Oryzias latipes: one gene and its partners. The protein of the gene in region 2 interacts with the protein of the main gene of each other region in a biochemical or structural test. Links are inferred from orthologs where the notes say so. Each region holds a gene or a part of one and is shown on either strand. Other genes may lie near its edges.

Region 1 (4,250 bases), on a different chromosome or scaffold from region 2:
CTAATGTTTACATACATTTAAGTATTGTTTGTAACTGTGAAATGACCGACAGGTTACTATGGTAATCACTTGTTACTAAAAACTTTTTTTAATTTTTAAATGTATGGTATTTTGTTTACTTATTTGTACTGTCATGACAGCGATGCTGCTGTCAGTTTACCTGTTGTTGCATCTTCAAAAGGGCAGAATAAAATGTGACACCGAATTTGAAACAGCACATTGTAATTTCTGCATCTATTATTTAAGTATTTATCAGTAATACAGTGGAAATTAATAGATTTGGTTTGCATGTTGATTTACGGTATGCGCCCTTAAATTTTCTGGTTGTGCCCTTAAAATTTTCAGTTGAGGGCCACAGTGCTCCTAGTGAAAAAAGTTAGTCTGGAGCCCTGCGAACGTCAACAGGAAACGACGACATGCGAGGAAACGAAGCCCGAGAAACACGGAGGCCATGATGGAACCGCGGGAAGACAAAAACTCATCCAGCCGCTTCTTTTTCTTTACGTGTCTGTAAAGAACATTTACTCACCTCTTCATACACACACAAACGCACAATTACACACCAATAGCAGCAGAGCTGTCACCCGAGGCACTAACTAGGGGTTCGGTGTCAAACCCAAGGACACTTCAACATGGGTGAGCAGAATGGGAACCAAACCTGAAATCAGATGTCGACTGCTCTACTTATGACACGCCCACCCCATTTGAAAACCCTTTAGATGTTTCATGAAATGCACCAGAAACAGAAGCGAAACGTCCCGGTTCCACTGAAGTCCGCTGCTGCCGGTTCTGCTCTTTACCTTGGTCATATCTTGAGGATCAGGCACCACAAACATGCCGGGAGGAGGTTCCTTGTAGATGGACATGATATCCCTGCAGACAGAAAGAACAATGTGAAGAACCCCCCCCAAAACATAAGAGCGCCTGAGCAAAGCAGAGAGGCGGGAAACACGTCTGCATGCGCAGACACCGTGGGATGCGTCTGCAAAACGTGTCTGCATGCGTCTGCGTGAGACGTTCTTCGCAGAGTCGGAGGTGAACTGCATCTGTCCAGGACCCATGTTTGACGACCACGAGGGAAGATTCAACCAGGAAATGGGTTTCTTCACCAGCTTTTCAACATTTGTGAGTTTCTGTCCATCAAAGAAGGCCGGAAAAAATAAAGCTACGCAAAACAAATCGGTGACAAACTGCAGAATAACCTGCATCACAGTATCTGCCTGTCAAAACTAAGTAACATTATTTTAAGCGCTGTAAGAAACTTGCCTCCATGTAGACGACAAGATCCGTGTACGTCTTTGTTTTCCTCAAAAATATACAAAACTCCAATATTGCTCGTGGCTTTTTGCACCAATCGTGTTTTAGGTTGTGAGGAGCTGTAAGCTAGCAGGACAGGGTAAACAGAAAGCTGACGTGACCACAAAAACGGCGAGCGATATCAGATATATGCAGCCGTACAGTTTAGATCCAATGCCAGTCCGGACGAGGAAAAACAAAGACGCTCATGGATCCATTTGTCTGCAGGGGGAGGCATCAGGGAGACTGAACATCACATCACCTGCACCATGTTAGGCTAAACTTGAGTTCTAATCACTTGGGCAGATGAGATATATATTTTTTCTTCTGAACTTGCTGCTGTGATGGGACGGGGATGACCTGCAGGCCCTCTCTTCAGGAAATGTCTGATAAGAGAGTAAATCAAGTTTCTCTGAGTTTTGGAAGGGAAACTCAAAAAGTTCAGAACTTCCTGTGACTTTTCAAGATGGGAAACTTTTACTTTCACTTTCTCGGTGGCTGAGGCGTGGGACCCGTGGCTAAAACTAAATAACTCTTTTCAGAGGGACCTAGTTGAAAAGGTGGTGAGGTCAGGTGAGGTCAAGAGGATTGGGGGGGTCTCAGCAGGTGTGTGGGGGCTCTCGCTTACCTCTTTATCCTCAGAATGCACTGCTGCGACGCCTTCTCGTTGTCCCAGTCTGTGCTTAGAGACGGGTCCCAGGAAGTGGCGTGGATCTGGGACAGCAGGCCCCCTCCTGCTACGCCCAACCCCACCCCCGGCACCGGGGAGGACGCGTGCGCGATGGGAGACACGGCCACGACGGGCGGCGAGGAGGCGGGGGTGAAGGTTTCCCCGAAGCCGGCAGCGGTGGGGGTGACTGCGGCCACGGGGGCCACCAAAGCCGTAAGGCCACTCTGCGCCACCGCGGCGGGCGGGAAGGAGGCCGAGGAGGTGCTGGGGTGACCCACGCTCGCGGCGAAAAGTCCCCCCGGCAGCGAGTTGGCCAAAGCGGGGAGCGGCGAGGCTCCGCCGCCCTGTCCGGTAACGCCTAAGCCGAGCGAACCGACGCCGGACTCCTCTCCGACGCTGTCCGCCATGGCTAGCAAGCTTCCGTCAATCTGTCGCTGCTCACTAATGTGTCGAGCCGCACTTCACCGGCATTGACAGTCGAGCCTGGAGTTACGCCTGCGGTTCCGGGCCGGGCGGGATCAGAGAGCGACCGAACGCAGCGCAGGCGATGCCGGAGAACGAGACGCTTCTTCCCACGACATGATGATGATGGCTATTCCGCGTTAGCTTCGCCCAACATTTCCCGGGCCTCCTTGGGCTATTTAGACTTCCAAAAGGCTCCTCCGACCCCCTCCTATCGGTCACCGAATCCGTCAAACCTCCGCTAGTTGTCGCGTTAAGAAAACCGCAGAAGAAAACGGGTGACTTTCGGCCGTTTTCCGCGACTCAACTCCAGGAACAAACCGCAACTTTGGGGCTTTCTGTCCTGTCAAGTCATGGCCTCAACGGTCGACTTCCGGTCGGATTTTCAAAATAAACCTTCGGCTGTTCTTTTTCACTTTAAGATGAACCACACACTTCCGGGTGGCAAAAATACATGTTAATTAAATGTAAAATAAACTCCTAGGGACCTAGAGGCCCCAAAGGCACAACTTACTCATTAGACATGTTCAAGAGAATTAATATTAAAAAAATATCATAATTTATTACCTAAATTATCAGCAGAAAACAAAAAATAAAACTAAAAAATGACCAGATGTAACCTGGGAGCATTACTAGGGGTGATCCGACCTGTGGGAATGTGATCAGAATATCAAAGAGTATTGCACTTGCAGTTTATTTTATTAAGTTTACCTGAAGTATAGAAAGTCTACTATGAATGATGCACGTTTAGTGTAACTGTGTACCAACTAAACCCTTCCTCAGACTAAATTGAAACATTTTAGGTTTTCAATATAGAGAAGTAAACTTCAAGTATGCTGCCTCACTAAGTTGTAGTACACCTAGACTATTGCCAAATTAAAATAAAAAGTCAAACGAAGCTTAAAATTGTTGAGAACACAAAGTGATGTTTCCTAGATCAACAGCTGTTCAAACTGTAAATACTGAATTGGTTTTTCCTTAAAAAACACATTCATTATGATAACCAAATAGTAAGAAACAGTTGAAAAAGAAAGGCAAAAACGATATGTCTCAGATAAGAGGTTAATATCTTTAATCAAATGAAGTAAAAAAAACAAACATTGATAAGATCAACAATTCCTGAAGGATCTGGATCCTTTGTGTCAAAAAAGGAAAAAAAAAGTTATTATTGCTAAAATATGGAGGACTTTAAGCATGCTGACTGACGTTTAAAATAATCAGAGGGTCTGAGATACAAATGTGAACCTAAACTCGGTTAGTCTCGGTTTGTTTGGGCTCTGAATTTGTTCTAGGTCTCAGCTTGGACTGCAGCCACGTACCAAGTCCTCCGGTTCAAGAACCGGCTTGGGGGGACCTGAAACAGAACATCAATTTCTGTGTGCAGTTTGCATGTTTTCCCTGTACATACAAGGGCTTCCTCCCACCATCCAATAACATGCTTCATAGGTTTATTGGTCACTCTAAATTGCCCCTAGGTGTGAATGTGCATGGGTGTGTGATTGTGGCCCTGCGACAGACTGGCGGCCCGTCCAGGGTGACCCCATACTTCACCTGCAAGGCGTCTGTGAATGAGATGAATTAATTTGCATGCAGAGCATTGACTGTATATGACAACTAGACAGTGACTCCTCCCACTTTGGCATTCCAAACAGGAATTCATCGCTGCCTCCAAGAAAGCCAAAATCCAGTACACTTCTGTAGAGAAATAAACAGCTGTTATTCTATTGTCAGACTAACTATTGTGGCTCTGATACCTTTAACTTGTTTTTGGTAATGCACTGGATTTTGTAACTTCAAAAGAATCTTGTCTGATCAGAATCGG
Region 2 (4,186 bases):
CTGTTTTCTGAGTTAGTGAAAGAAAATTGGAAGTCATCCAAGACTTGAAATCTTTGAAACTACACTGAACAAAAATATAAACGCAACAGTTTTGTTTTTGCTCCCGTTTGTCTTAAGCTGATTTCAAAGATCTGAACATTTCCTACAAACACAAAAATAACAATTTCTTTCAAATATTGTCCATAAAATCCGTCTAAATCTGTGATAGTGAGCACTTCTCCTGAGATAATCCCTCCCACCTCATAGGTGTGCCATATCAAGATGCTTTTTCCTCAGCATGATCTTTGCACAAGTGTGCCTTAGACTGGCCTCAATAAAAGGCCAGTCTGAAATGTGCCGTTTTGCTTTATTGGGGGTCTGGGGACTCAGAAAGCCGGTCAGTATCTGGTGTGACCAACATTTACCTCATGCAGTGCATCTCCTTCACACAGAGCTGATAAGGTTTGCGATTAAGGGAATGTTGGCCCACTCCTCTTCAATGGCTGTGTAAAGTTGCTGGATGTTTGCAGGAACTGGAACACGCGGTCGTATCCGCTGATCCAGAGCATCCCAAACATACTCAATGTGTGACATGTCCGGTGACGATGCTGGCCACGCAAGAACTGGGATGTTTTTCCAGCTTCCAAGAATTGTGTTCAGATCCTTGCAACACAGGGCCGTGCAATATCATGCTGCAACATGGGGTGATGTTGTTGGATGTATGGGATACAACGGCCCACCGGGTCTCTGTGCATTCAAAATGCTGTCAATCAAATGCACCTCTGTTCTGTCTGACATGTCCAGTAAAGAGAATGAGTCAGGATTTATTCGTGAAGAGAGCACTTCTCCATGTGTCATGTGAGCATTTGCCCTCTCAAGTCGGTTATGACAACAAACTGGAGTCGGGCTTTAGCATCGATGAGGACAACAAGCATGCAGATGAGCTTACCTGAGATGGTTTCTGTGGAGATTTTTTGGGGTTTTGCGAACCAATTGTTTCAGCAGCTGTCTGAGTGGCTGGTCTCAGATTCTCTTGAAAGTATACATGCCACCTGACAATCTGATGAACTCTGTGCAGAGAAGATGGGTTGCACTGCATGCCGCAAATGTTGGTCAAACCAGATACTGACCGGCTTTCTGAGTCCCCAGACCCCCAACAAAGCAAAACGGCACATTTCAGACTGGCCTCTTTTTGAGGCCAGTCTTTTGTGCAATAATCATGCTGTCTAAACAGCATCTTGATATGGCACACCAGTGAGGTGAGATGGATCATCTCAGCAAAGCAGAAGTGCTAAATATCACAAATGTAGGCAGTTTTGTCAGCAATAATTGAAAGAAATTGTTATATTGTGTATGTAGAAAATGTTTCAGAAATTCAAGTTCATCTCATGACAAAAATGACCAATGGAAATGTTTTCTGTGCTTCATACTAGTGTTGGAAGCATTTTGACAATGCCATATTCTATTAGCTGCAACAAAACGTTCTAATCAAGTATGTCAAACAAACAGCACTGAGGCCTAAAAGAACATGCACAGACACAAGTACAGGCAGCCATGAGGTCATGGTTACCTTCAGCAGAGCTATGATATGGGAAATTCTGACTAAAACTCATCACAAATTATTCTGTTCAAACGCTCACAGAGTTGATCTGCAGCAGTTTTCTCTGGGAGTTTAGAAATGAATATTAGATTAGAGACAGACTTGTTAAACAAAAACTTGTGGATTAAGAAAGACGGCTTAAATAAAGGTTTAATGGCAAAATGGAAATCCAGAGCTGTGTTTTTACTGTCAGGATCATGTTATTTTAATGAGACAGTCAGAGCAGTATTATAAGACAACACGAATTTGTAAAAGTCTGTAAACAAACTGTATTCCTTTATTATTTTTACTGCTATTTTTGTGCATTACTTGTGGTGTTTGTGGTATTGTGCCAACTTGGAAATGTACATAAATTACAGAAGTGTCACGCTGAAGCGGATTTATTTGGGAAGAAGTAGACGGTCACATAAGGTTAAGCCAACAAACAAAACATGTCCGCTTGTTTTGTTAACAAAATTCTGGGAAATCAACCATGATAAATAACTAAGCAGCTTCAACACATTCATGTTGTGTATCTGTATGTTTACAGTTTAACGCCGGTGCAAGGTCCCGGCGTCAACCCAACCGACCCCATCTTAAACCCGCGCTTAATGTTGGCCCGGGACCGATCTAACTGACGGGAACGCGGACAGACCAGATAAGATCAGCGCGATTGGTCAGTCGAAGATATCCCGGTTTGGAACTGGGGACCCGGTTCGGAACTCACCGATCATCAGCCTTCTCATTCGCTAAGCATTCTGGGAGCTGTAGTACATTTTCTCCTATGTTTCCGGCGTCGGTCCGCTGTACAGTGTGACGTAAACAACACCGGAAGTGTATGTACTTAACAAAAAACACGATTAAAATTCAAACTCTGACGATGAATAAACTCAACAGCCATTCAGTGGTTGTTTTTGAAACATCTAGAAAATAGCAGCTGGTACTAAATATCCACTACAGTCGATCTTTGATCGGAAAGGTTGGATGACTTATCCATGTGTCCTCAGTGACAGCAGATCCTGGCGCGCGCTCCTCAGCCGGAACCTTCTACAGGATACAGATAAAGTCAGCTTGCACTCGATTATTTTGAAATATTGGCTTATTTAAAGGGTGTATGTATGCAGATTGTCTCCCATGTGCTCTATAGCTGTGGTTTGACTTTGGATTAACCTTTATGTTCTGCCTAAATTTAAAGCTGACTGGATCTACAATTGATGGTATCCCCAAAAATTCCCTGTGGCTCCGTGCTTCCATGTGTGCTCCTCCTGCTGGAGGCAGGAAGTAAAAACAGCCTGGATAGAAGTTTATTCCAAAGACGAGACAAACATGTCAACAGCTTTATTCTATTGGCAAACACGATACAATGAAAACCACCATCACCCCCCCACTGCAACAAACCAACACAACACTGGTCTAAACTGTAGACAGGAGAGGTGTCAGAAACAAAACTGGAACATGGTGGGAGGGACTGAGTGTTTTTGTCTCTTGGTGAAAGGGGGGGGTCATAGGCATTGAGACCAAAATAAATATGTCACCATTAAATTAACTCCAAGCCAACTCTTTTTCAATAACTGTTCCTGGGCGGGCACAGGAAAAGCTTTTATTTTGGTGAGAGCTGCTCCAAATGAACGTGGAGTCCAGAGGCTTGAACTGACCAAACATCTGTCCCAGTTCATCAGCATGCTCCATACACCGTGGCGGGAGCTGGAGAACACGAAGAACACCTTTATATGTGAGGAGGAGCCAATGCTGTCATGACAACTTTGTTTCTGGAACATCAGAACATTCCACCTTACCAACAGACGTCTTAGGACCCGACAAGATAGTTTTCTCTGAGGAGCGCCGGGACACATCCCTCGGACTCCAGCGTGGATTTCTGCTAGAAGCTTTTATTTTGAAGAATAGAACACCCATTTCTGCCTGCTGATGATTAAACTGTTGTTATAGTAACCAAGATTGACTGGCCAGCCAGATAACAAAGAACACCGTCAGCCAATCAAAACACAGCATCAGCAGCCTGGCTGGCCTAATCAGCCCAATCCACTGGAGCGAGGTAGGGAAAACTGCCAACAGGGACAGAAAGTTCTTCTGACCATCAATCAACTAAATGGATCAAAAGTTGGATAACTGCTCACGGGTCCGGTGTCGATGCAGTTTTGGACCTGCTCGTCGTTTAAAGGACCAGTTTTGTGGATGAAAACCACAGATGATCGATCCAATCGTGTTTCACAGCGGCAAACTGGTTTGATGATCCAGCTTCATTTCCCATGATGCCTTTGGGAAACGGCAGGTGCCGCCATACAGGTGAAAGGGAGGTAAAAGGGGAGGGCAATTGTGTATGTTTGAATCTAATTACATTACTCCATACGCAAAGCTAAGTGTCAGTTCTGACCATACAGGTGTGACCGTATGCGGCATCCCCACCTGATGACCATTTTAGGATATCCTGCTGCTATTTACACCAAAGAGGAAGAAACCATTTTCAGTTCCTGAGACCTGGACAACCAGAACGGGTCCAGAACATTTCTGAGTTTCAACTTTTTTCGAGAATTGGTTCCACAACACCCCGGAACCAGTCAATACTTATGCCTTATCCTCAAACCGGTCCAATCCAGTTCAGAGCAGGGG
Region 3 (4,256 bases), on a different chromosome or scaffold from region 2:
GGACATAACATAAGAAAACAGAGATGGTATCATTGAGCATGATCGCACGCTAAAATAGCTTTCATACTCCTTCAAAATACTAATGACAGAAATGGTTTAAATTGCATTTAATTTTGCTCTGCTTTTGTGGCCAAAAGCCCACAAAATCCCTGTTTTTTTTTCCTAATGGAATTTGTTCATTCCATCTTCTTCCTCTTTCCCTTCCCACTCTAACTATCAAGCTTTTTTTTTTAATTTCAAAATCAATCCAAAGGGGCTTTAGTCCTCCACATTAATGAATAATTTGCAATTTTTAATCAGATTGCATCCGGTACATTTGGAGCACAGTTGTAAACTCTTTTTCAGATCATAAAAAAATGATGATTGTAAATCCTAATCACAAGCACAAATGTTTTCATTTTAAAAATCACAAGAAAAAGTGTTTAAATAAGGTTTTAAGTCAACATTTTACTGACAAGCAAGCTTTTAGCTTAAGAACAAAGGTTTTTATGTTATATTCAGCAATAGGTTGTATTGGATAATGTTGTAAAATGCTTTGAAGTAAGCTTCATATTTAATTACATATCTATGACTGAGTTTTAAACATCCCTATACACTTTTGATTTAGGCACAACATTTTCAAAGTGGCATATCATTGATCACACCGTAATGGAAGTTGATGTGAGAGAAAACGCTTTTATTTTCTCAGGGAACTTTGAAACATCTGTGAAATATTAATCCAATAATAATTATATCATATAAGGCCAAACTAAGCACAAACTTGTCATCCAGGTTAATTTATCTGCAGGAAAATGCATTTGCAATTGAATTTGCATTTAAAAAGGTAAATTTAAGGTTAAAAAGTTTGGTAAAATACCTTTGGATCAGATTTTGAAGCTGCATAGATTTGATTTTCTGCTCAGGTTGCATGGATTGTTTTGCCAGCTTTTTAATCAATGACAAAGATGTCAAATCCCCTAAATTTTCTGCCAAAGATTTTGCTGAAGCTAGTGCACGCAAGACAAAGTCTTCTAAAATATAAACTGATTAAAAAACATGAGCCTATTGAATGCAGACATTAATATCTAGAATTTGTGATTGCCAATAGGAAGTGGAAAAAAGCAAATGATTGTCCTTCAGTATTTTTTGTCTCTGAATTTTTACCTTAAAAATGAGTGGGGTTGTGATCTTACCGTGCCAATCAAAAACATTCATCGGCTGATTCACATGGCGCGGTAAGTCCTTCTTTCCCCCCTTAATAAAGGCTGGAAGACTGGGTCTCCTTTGGTCCCCGACAAACTTTCCCGGCTGCTGCCCCATAAGGGCAGGGTGCCAGGCTGCAGCCGGGACTATCCAAGTCGGACGGAGTCGGTTAGAAAGCTTGCTGAGCGGCAATGGCGGGATCTGGAGAAGACAGGAGCCTCTTTCCGGGCTCACACTGTCTTCTCCTGGAGTATTGGTGATGCAGGCCTCCTGCACAAGTCTGTGTTACTCCAGTAGGGTTCAGTTTTTTTATGCATTCAGACGACATATGAGGGACCTAACAGGAATCTGCAGAAACGTAAACAACAGTAATCAGCATTCAAAGTTATCTGATCAAACTTTTTTTAAATAAAGAAATGACAAATAAGCTTGTAAAAAAATGTCTTTTAAGCAATACGCCAACAAACTTTCAATTTTGGGAGTTGTTTTAAGACTATTTCTGTTCTGTAAAAAGTATTAGACCTGACCACATGTTAAATAATAACATGAAATGCATTTTATAATAATCTAGATTAAAAAAATAATTTTAGAGCCTGACCAATCAGATCAAAAGATTAAATTAATTATAATTTAGAATAAGTGTCTTTTTAATGTTAAAACTGCTCAAAAATGTCTTGTTCTGTAGAAGTTGAGAGTTAAATTGAAAGTATTTCCTCAAGTTTGTTAGGTTTAGGGTTCGAACAACTACTTTTCTAAATTGTTTAACGTCAATCACAGCCTCAAAATAATAGTGTTGGGTTAGTCTCGGTTTAGTTACAGCTTCACATAACTAACTACAAATACTGAAAATACATTTGCTTATCAGTACTAAAGAAAAGCGACACCTTATGTTGTTTATCTCGACTATCTTAGTCTTAATCTTTCGAGCACAATAATGTAAACTAGTGTCATACGTGGTTTAATTAACTATAAACAACTTTGTGACAACGACATCTTTGTTTTTGACTCTAATAAAACTGTACAGTTAAAAAATAAAACGTTGATAAGTGTTTAAATGTGAGGTAAACTTACATGAAAACATTGACACTGTTGGTTAGCTCCAGCTAATGTTGACGATAGCCATAAGCTAACCAAACTTCTGCTGGTGGTAAGCAGCGCCAGACCCCTATGCACGCCGGACAGTCAACGGTTGGTTTCTGCTGGTAACCGCAGTCAAGTCCACTTCATTATCTCACCAAAACATGTCCCGTGACCGCAGTTTCACACTCTGTAACCAAAAATCAAAGCACTTGTTGGTGTGTTTCAAACTTCCGCGTCCACTCTTCCCGTTTTGTGGAGCGTCTCCCCCCGCGTCTCTAAAGCCACTTGTAGGCGAAGTTGAGGGAACTCTGAGGGCCAGACGACTCTGTCTCCTAGATTTTCTCCCGAATTCCCAGCCGCCGTGCCCTTTACTAGCGAGCTCTATGCTTGCGTGCTTATTCATCACTTTCACGTGAAAACCTGAGCAGTAAACTTTGGCCGAGTTCCAGTTCTGTCGCTGGAACCGCCATACTTCCATACGTAAGGTGGTTTACAGAAATATGTGGGTGGGGCTACGTGTGACGTCACGAGCTCAGCGTGGGCTAGCACCATGAGGGAAGCGCAAAAAAAAAAAAAAAAAACCATGAGGGAAGCGCACGTTTTTGATATGTTTCTGCTACGTTTGTTACTTGCTGTGGTTGAATAAGTTTGGAATGATGACAATAGTTGTTGATGCTGATCTATTTTATTCCTTGATGTTATGTTTTGTAAATTTAATGTTATGATCAATAAAGTTTGGAAAAAAAATGAGGGAAGCGCACGAGTTTGGATTCTGCTGGAGGAGCAGGAAGGGAAACAGAAGGGGAAAAGCCATCCCAGCAGGGATAAATCGAATTCTTTTTTTAGCTTTCTTCATTTAAAAGAATACAAGGTTGGTTAGAAAAAACATTCAGGAATAACAAAGGTGATTGCACACTTTTATATAAATAAAGTCACTTTTTATTAACCTGTCTTAGAGTAGAACATTTTTTTTAGTTATCAAACAACTATGAGAAAAAAAATTAAATCCTGCATATAAAACTAACAATTAATGAATTTTCAAAAATTAGTACATAAAAAGGGAAATGTAGGCCATGTTCCAACTAATAAATATTTTATGTAGCAAATTGAATTTCATTTTTTTATTGTTTAAAATAAAAAACATTTCTTGAGAGCTAATGATTCAGACTGTTATGAAAAAAAAGTATTTAAGTTAGTAGAAGCATGAAGCACCAAAATGCTGCTAAACATTTAACAATATTTAATTTAACATTTAATGAAGAGTGAAATAATCAGATTTATTTTAAGATCTAACATTAACCCTGAAGACCCATTTTCCTTCAAACGAAAATTATTTTGAATATACAAAAATCCAAGTGGACCAAAGAACACACTTTTGATGATTTTGTTACAATTATGTCCACCATGGGTTCTTATAGGTTAATTGATTCAATGTACTCATTGTTTTTTATCAATACAGACCACGATGAGAACTATACAGAAATGACTGAAATTTTATTTTATACAAAACCATCACAATGTAATGTCACACCGAGCATTTACAAATGTGGACAACATTTTAATTTTCATTCAGGTTATATGCATTATTAATGTTTGATATCAAATAAAGAATGTGATCTCTGAGCACCTCACTTTGATTCATAGAAGACAACTAAACTTAATTTTTGGATAAGTGGATGGTGGCCCCGTTGTTGGATGTGGTTTTAGCATTAGCCTTTTATCCTTCCTGTTCCAGCAGCTTCTGTTGGGTCAACATGACAATCTCTTCCATCACCTCGGGTTTTAAGATGTCCTTGACCTACAGGCAGGGAAAAGGGAAATCTTTAAAACAGGTTGTTATCGTTTTGTAAAAGTCCAGAAACATTTATAGTTACATGCATTTCACCAAAATACACGAATTGCTCATAAATTTACCATTTCTCAGAATAAATTAAAAACATATATTTATATCTGATTTGTTTATTTCAATAAATAATGTCTGTTCCATTCTGCAA
Region 4 (4,245 bases), on a different chromosome or scaffold from region 2:
ATTATGTTTCTTATAGATATAATCCAACCAGATCAATCTGTCCGAGGCAAATTGATAATTGCATCGACCTTTACTATTATAAAATTGTTTCAAAATGAATCGATTAGAGCTGATATTAGTGAATACCATCTGGATTGAGGCACGGTAAGTTTATTTCACAACAACATAAATATGAATCGGTGTCATCACAGAGGACAACACACATGTGATGGCTGCAAAAAAGGATCAATCCATAATTACAGTCCAATGTGTGGAAACACTTTTTACAAAGACATGTGACCATAAAGTGTGGTAGAATGTTCTAATAATGTTCTGTTTAGATTATTTTGTTGTGGGCTGAACTTTAGGAAACTAAAATGTCAATGGATTTGCCATTAATCCCTGTTCACTTGTTTGCTTGTACACATATTTAATTCACACTTTATTATTTATTTAATTTACACATTCTTGCAGGAGAATCCTTCACCTGCTCTACAGTACCCAGGTATTTATCACCGAGTCACACACTGGTTGATTTTTTGGCTAAAATGTCCTGAATCGATTTTCAGTCTATAAATCGTATCGTTCAAAATGAACCAATATCACCTATGAATCATATCAGCAACTAAAAAATATAATGATATGAATCAAATCATGGTTAAAATTTAACGTTACACCCCTACTTTCTAGTCTTTAGTGCCTTGAACTACAGACAACATATGATCATGTGTATATAGAAAAGCTAGAACATTGTTACTGAATTCTCCAAATCTGCTTTCCTTTTAGGATATAATAAACTTTATAATAAAAGTCCAATGATAAGTTAGTGTGAAGGAAGATTAGCTCAACAAATCGGGATGTAAATAGTTGGCAGGATCATTGTGAAAATTTAAACGATAAAATTATGGTTCGTAATAAATGTTCAGTTTCACATTCATTTTTCGAAAGATACAACTTTTTTTCACTAAATTCTTCAAAAAAACAGGACTGATGCTCAGTGTTTAAAACTCGTAAAACGGGGTTTTGGACAAAACTAAGTACTAAAATATCAGATTGACCTACACATCTGCAAACAGATCGCGTTTCTGACGAAGATTCAAATCGCTGATGCTAAACAATACCGAAAAATAAACCTGTTTTGTAGCATCTCTAAGCTAGTAAAGCGGTTAGCCGTTTCCAGCTTCTGCCTGCTAGCTTTAGGACCGTCACTGCGCGTTGAGCCCGTTTTCTGTGTAGCATTTTATAACCCCACGCGTACGTGTCAAATATCCGAATCTCGGTAATAACTGTCAGTTTTTAATTTGCAACGCCATACCTTACTGAGCTCCAGTCCGTCAAGGTGTTTCTTACTCTCTGCCATATTTCATTTGCCGAAAAAGGAGGGGGGTTTCCTGTGTGACCAATATCCTTTCGGTTGTTGGAACGGAGCGAGGTTGTACTCCAAAATGATCCATAGAGGGCGCTAATAGAGATTGGTTCCCATCTTTACAGGAGTAGGGGTCAAAGTTGAATGTTTGACAGAAATCTAAACATGGATTCCATATTTCATGAAAAAGTAGGTTTAAACAATTTACTTGTGACATTAAACTGAACGCCTTTACTCGTGTGTAGTCGGAGAGAGTAAAGACACTTAGCATTTATTTAGAGTTTGTGTTTAGCCGGTGCTAGCTTCAATCTAATGTTATTTTGGCTTTATTCAGACTGCTAATGCTAACTCACTTGCTAACCAGGTGTTGTTAAGTTTCTTTAAAAGCTAATAGAATGAAGTTAGAAAACGAGTTTGCGGTATTTATTGTACACTTCGACTCCACCAATAATTATTAAAGAAAAAGGATACTAAAGTTGTATGTTGCTCGTTGTTTAGATGTTTGAAACATTATTTATTTTTTATTTATTTTTTTGTAGTTGCTTTAGCTTTTTGTATAATCTATCTCCAAGGTTTTGTAAGTTTTTGCACTCCATTTTGAAAAAGTGGAGACCTTTTTTTTTCTCAATACGTTTACGCAGTTATTCTTTGTTTTCAGCAAGAGGGTTCCTTATGTGCCCAGCACTGCCTCAACAACCTTTTGCAGGGGGAGTATTTTACCCCTGTAGACCTGTCCTCAATTGCTCATCAGCTTGACGAAGAGGAGAGAATGAGAATGGCAGAAGGAGGTATGGGTAGTGAAGAGTACAGGACCTTCTTACAGGTAAGTGGGGACAGGTAACAGATGTTTTCTGCAGTGGTACATGTATTTAAACAACTGTTTTAATAATAACTTTATAGCAGCCATCTGGAAACATGGACGACAGCGGATTCTTTTCAATACAAGTATGTTTATGTGCTTTGTCATATGATCATTAGCAATCAACTTTACAAGATTGTCTTATCACTCCTTATGACTGATTTTTATAGGTAATTAGCAATGCTCTCCGAGTGTGGGGATTGGAGTTAATTCTCTTCAATAGCCGGGAGTACCAGAGCTTGATGATAAATCCAATGTAAAGTTGTATTTTCAAGACTTCCTTGTATAGCAAGTCGATCCCACACCCACATTTAAATCCTGACTTGATGTCTTTGCCTTTAAGAAACGAGAAGGCCTTCATTTGCAATTATAAGGAGCATTGGTTCACCATACGCAAGCTTGGACAACAGGTATGTCGATTTTTATTTTTTTACTTTTCAATACGTGTGTTGATGCTTAATTTACTTATTTAATTATTATTACAGTGGTTTAACTTGAATTCACTCTTGACTGGACCAGAGCTGATATCAGACACATATTTAGCTCTTTTCCTGGCACAGCTACAACAAGAAGGTATTGTAAAGCCGACTTGTTTACACTATTGCACCTTTTGGTACACAAATACAAAAATAATGTATTTCTGCAGGATATTCCATATTTGTGATCCAAGGGAATCTTCCCGAATGTGAAGCAGAGCAGATTCTCGGAATAATGCGGGTTCAACAACAGCAACGGCCCAGGCTAATTGGAGAGGATGAGGCTCAGACAAGTTCAGGGTAGGTTTGTGGAAAATGGTCCTCGCTTGGATTACATTAGGTCTTGTTTGGACATAATACATGTCTGTTTTTAGAAGCAGATCCGTTGCTCGGGGGCAAATGGACGTTGTATCAGATGAGGCTGTGGATGACGATGAAGAACTAAAGAGAGCTCTGGCACTCAGCAGACAGGAAATGGATGTGGAAGATGAAGAAGCTGACCTTCGCAGGGCCATTCAGCTCAGCATGCAAGGTGTGCCATTTCAAAGCTCCAGGCTGATTTGAAAATATTTTATTATATTGGAATTTTTTAACCCTTTTTTTGACGTTTTTCCTTTAACTAGGATCAGGCATGAGTAACAAATCTTCAGAGTCTGATGTGGGAAATGTGAAATCCGAAAAACGGACTGTACAGAGTTCTACATGTGGAGATAAACCAGGCCAGAATGAGACACTTACTGCTGAGGAGCTGAGGAAGAGGAGACAAGCTTATTTTGATCGGTAGGATTTGATCTGTAAAACTTGAATTTAACAAAAAAAAAAACTTTCAGTAATATGTGTACACATGTTCAAAGGTCTTTTTTTAGTGAGCAGAAAGGAGAAATGTGCCTTATGAACCAGACTTTCGTATTATCTTTCAGGCAAGCACAACCAAGCATTCCACGACAGTTAGAAAGTCATGCAACCAGTGACTCTGGTGAGTAAACTCTATTTAAAATTCAAAACACCCTATATGTATAACACCCATTATATACAGTTTTTTGCATATCAGAATGAAAATGTAGATATTATTTTCATGTCAGAACAATAACCCAAGTATCCATTTTTTGCCCCTAACACCAGAAAAATCCAACTCTATGGAGGACCAACAAGAAAAAGACACCAAATAAAGTTGTGAAAGCTTTGCTGCTTTTGTCTACCAACGCTCTGAACTTGAAACCCTGTACAGGGGTTGGCTTCTCTCCATTCTCTAACCTTTTGCAAACGCAAACATACTGCAGCCAGAAGGCCGACACATGGTTTCCTTCGCTGGGTTTGCTGATGGGCAAGGGAAAGGCAGCACTTGGTCAAATCAGACCTCAGTGTGGTACAGAGATGGGGGAAAAGGGTGATCGCTGGACTTAAAAATGACTCATAATGTAGTTATTCCAAGTTTTCAATGGCCTTTTTTTATTTTACCATAGAGCCTTCTATTTCTTTACATTCTGGTTTTTGTTGTCTTAATTTTTTTTGAAAACATAAAGAGAAAATGAATGAAAAATGGGTTAACTTTTATGAAGTTGGAT

Evidence for each region.
Region 1: the proteins of prkn (region 2) and ube2z form a complex in vitro, tested with the Homo sapiens proteins (2 studies listed by BioGRID). The link is inferred for Oryzias latipes from reciprocal best matches to the Homo sapiens genes PRKN and UBE2Z.
Region 3: the proteins of prkn (region 2) and abl1 form a complex in vitro, tested with the Homo sapiens proteins (2 studies listed by BioGRID, with this or other methods). The link is inferred for Oryzias latipes from reciprocal best matches to the Homo sapiens genes PRKN and ABL1.
Region 4: the proteins of prkn (region 2) and ataxin-3 form a complex in vitro, tested with the Homo sapiens proteins (4 studies listed by BioGRID and IntAct, with this or other methods). The link is inferred for Oryzias latipes from reciprocal best matches to the Homo sapiens genes PRKN and ATXN3.

The regions. Positions count from the first base shown.
Region 1 is NC_019866.2:24,086,811-24,091,060, forward strand, and holds the start of ube2z (ubiquitin-conjugating enzyme E2 Z), read right to left. Parts: upstream 2,801-4,250; 5' UTR 2,374-2,800; coding exon 1,925-2,373; intron 874-1,924; coding exon 801-873; intron 1-800. UniProt on the Homo sapiens protein: Catalyzes the covalent attachment of ubiquitin to other proteins. Specific substrate for UBA6, not charged with ubiquitin by UBE1. May be involved in apoptosis regulation.
Region 2 is NC_019873.2:12,960,432-12,964,617, reverse strand, and holds the start of prkn (E3 ubiquitin-protein ligase parkin), read right to left. Parts: upstream 2,801-4,186; 5' UTR 2,305-2,800; coding exon 2,286-2,304; intron 1-2,285. UniProt on the Homo sapiens protein: Functions within a multiprotein E3 ubiquitin ligase complex, catalyzing the covalent attachment of ubiquitin moieties onto substrate proteins. Substrates include SYT11 and VDAC1.
Region 3 is NC_019870.2:12,824,770-12,829,025, forward strand, and holds the start of abl1 (tyrosine-protein kinase ABL1), read right to left. Parts: upstream 2,801-4,256; 5' UTR 2,254-2,800; intron 1,531-2,253; 5' UTR 1,300-1,530; coding exon 1,173-1,299; intron 1-1,172. Other genes in the region: exosc2 (exosome complex component RRP4), read right to left, coding at 3,980-4,060. UniProt on the Homo sapiens protein: Non-receptor tyrosine-protein kinase that plays a role in many key processes linked to cell growth and survival such as cytoskeleton remodeling in response to extracellular stimuli, cell motility and adhesion, receptor endocytosis, autophagy, DNA damage response and apoptosis.
Region 4 is NC_019880.2:12,489,184-12,493,428, reverse strand, and holds the start of ataxin-3, read left to right. Parts: upstream 1-1,445; 5' UTR 1,446-1,489; coding exon 1,490-1,534; intron 1,535-2,003; coding exon 2,004-2,168; intron 2,169-2,245; coding exon 2,246-2,290; intron 2,291-2,374; coding exon 2,375-2,460; intron 2,461-2,547; coding exon 2,548-2,614; intron 2,615-2,689; coding exon 2,690-2,777; intron 2,778-2,850; coding exon 2,851-2,980; intron 2,981-3,054; coding exon 3,055-3,212; intron 3,213-3,303; coding exon 3,304-3,460; intron 3,461-3,600; coding exon 3,601-3,656; intron 3,657-3,802; coding exon 3,803-3,849; 3' UTR 3,850-4,245. Other genes in the region: E3 ubiquitin-protein ligase UBR1, read right to left, coding at 1,295-1,339. UniProt on the Homo sapiens protein: Deubiquitinating enzyme involved in protein homeostasis maintenance, transcription, cytoskeleton regulation, myogenesis and degradation of misfolded chaperone substrates.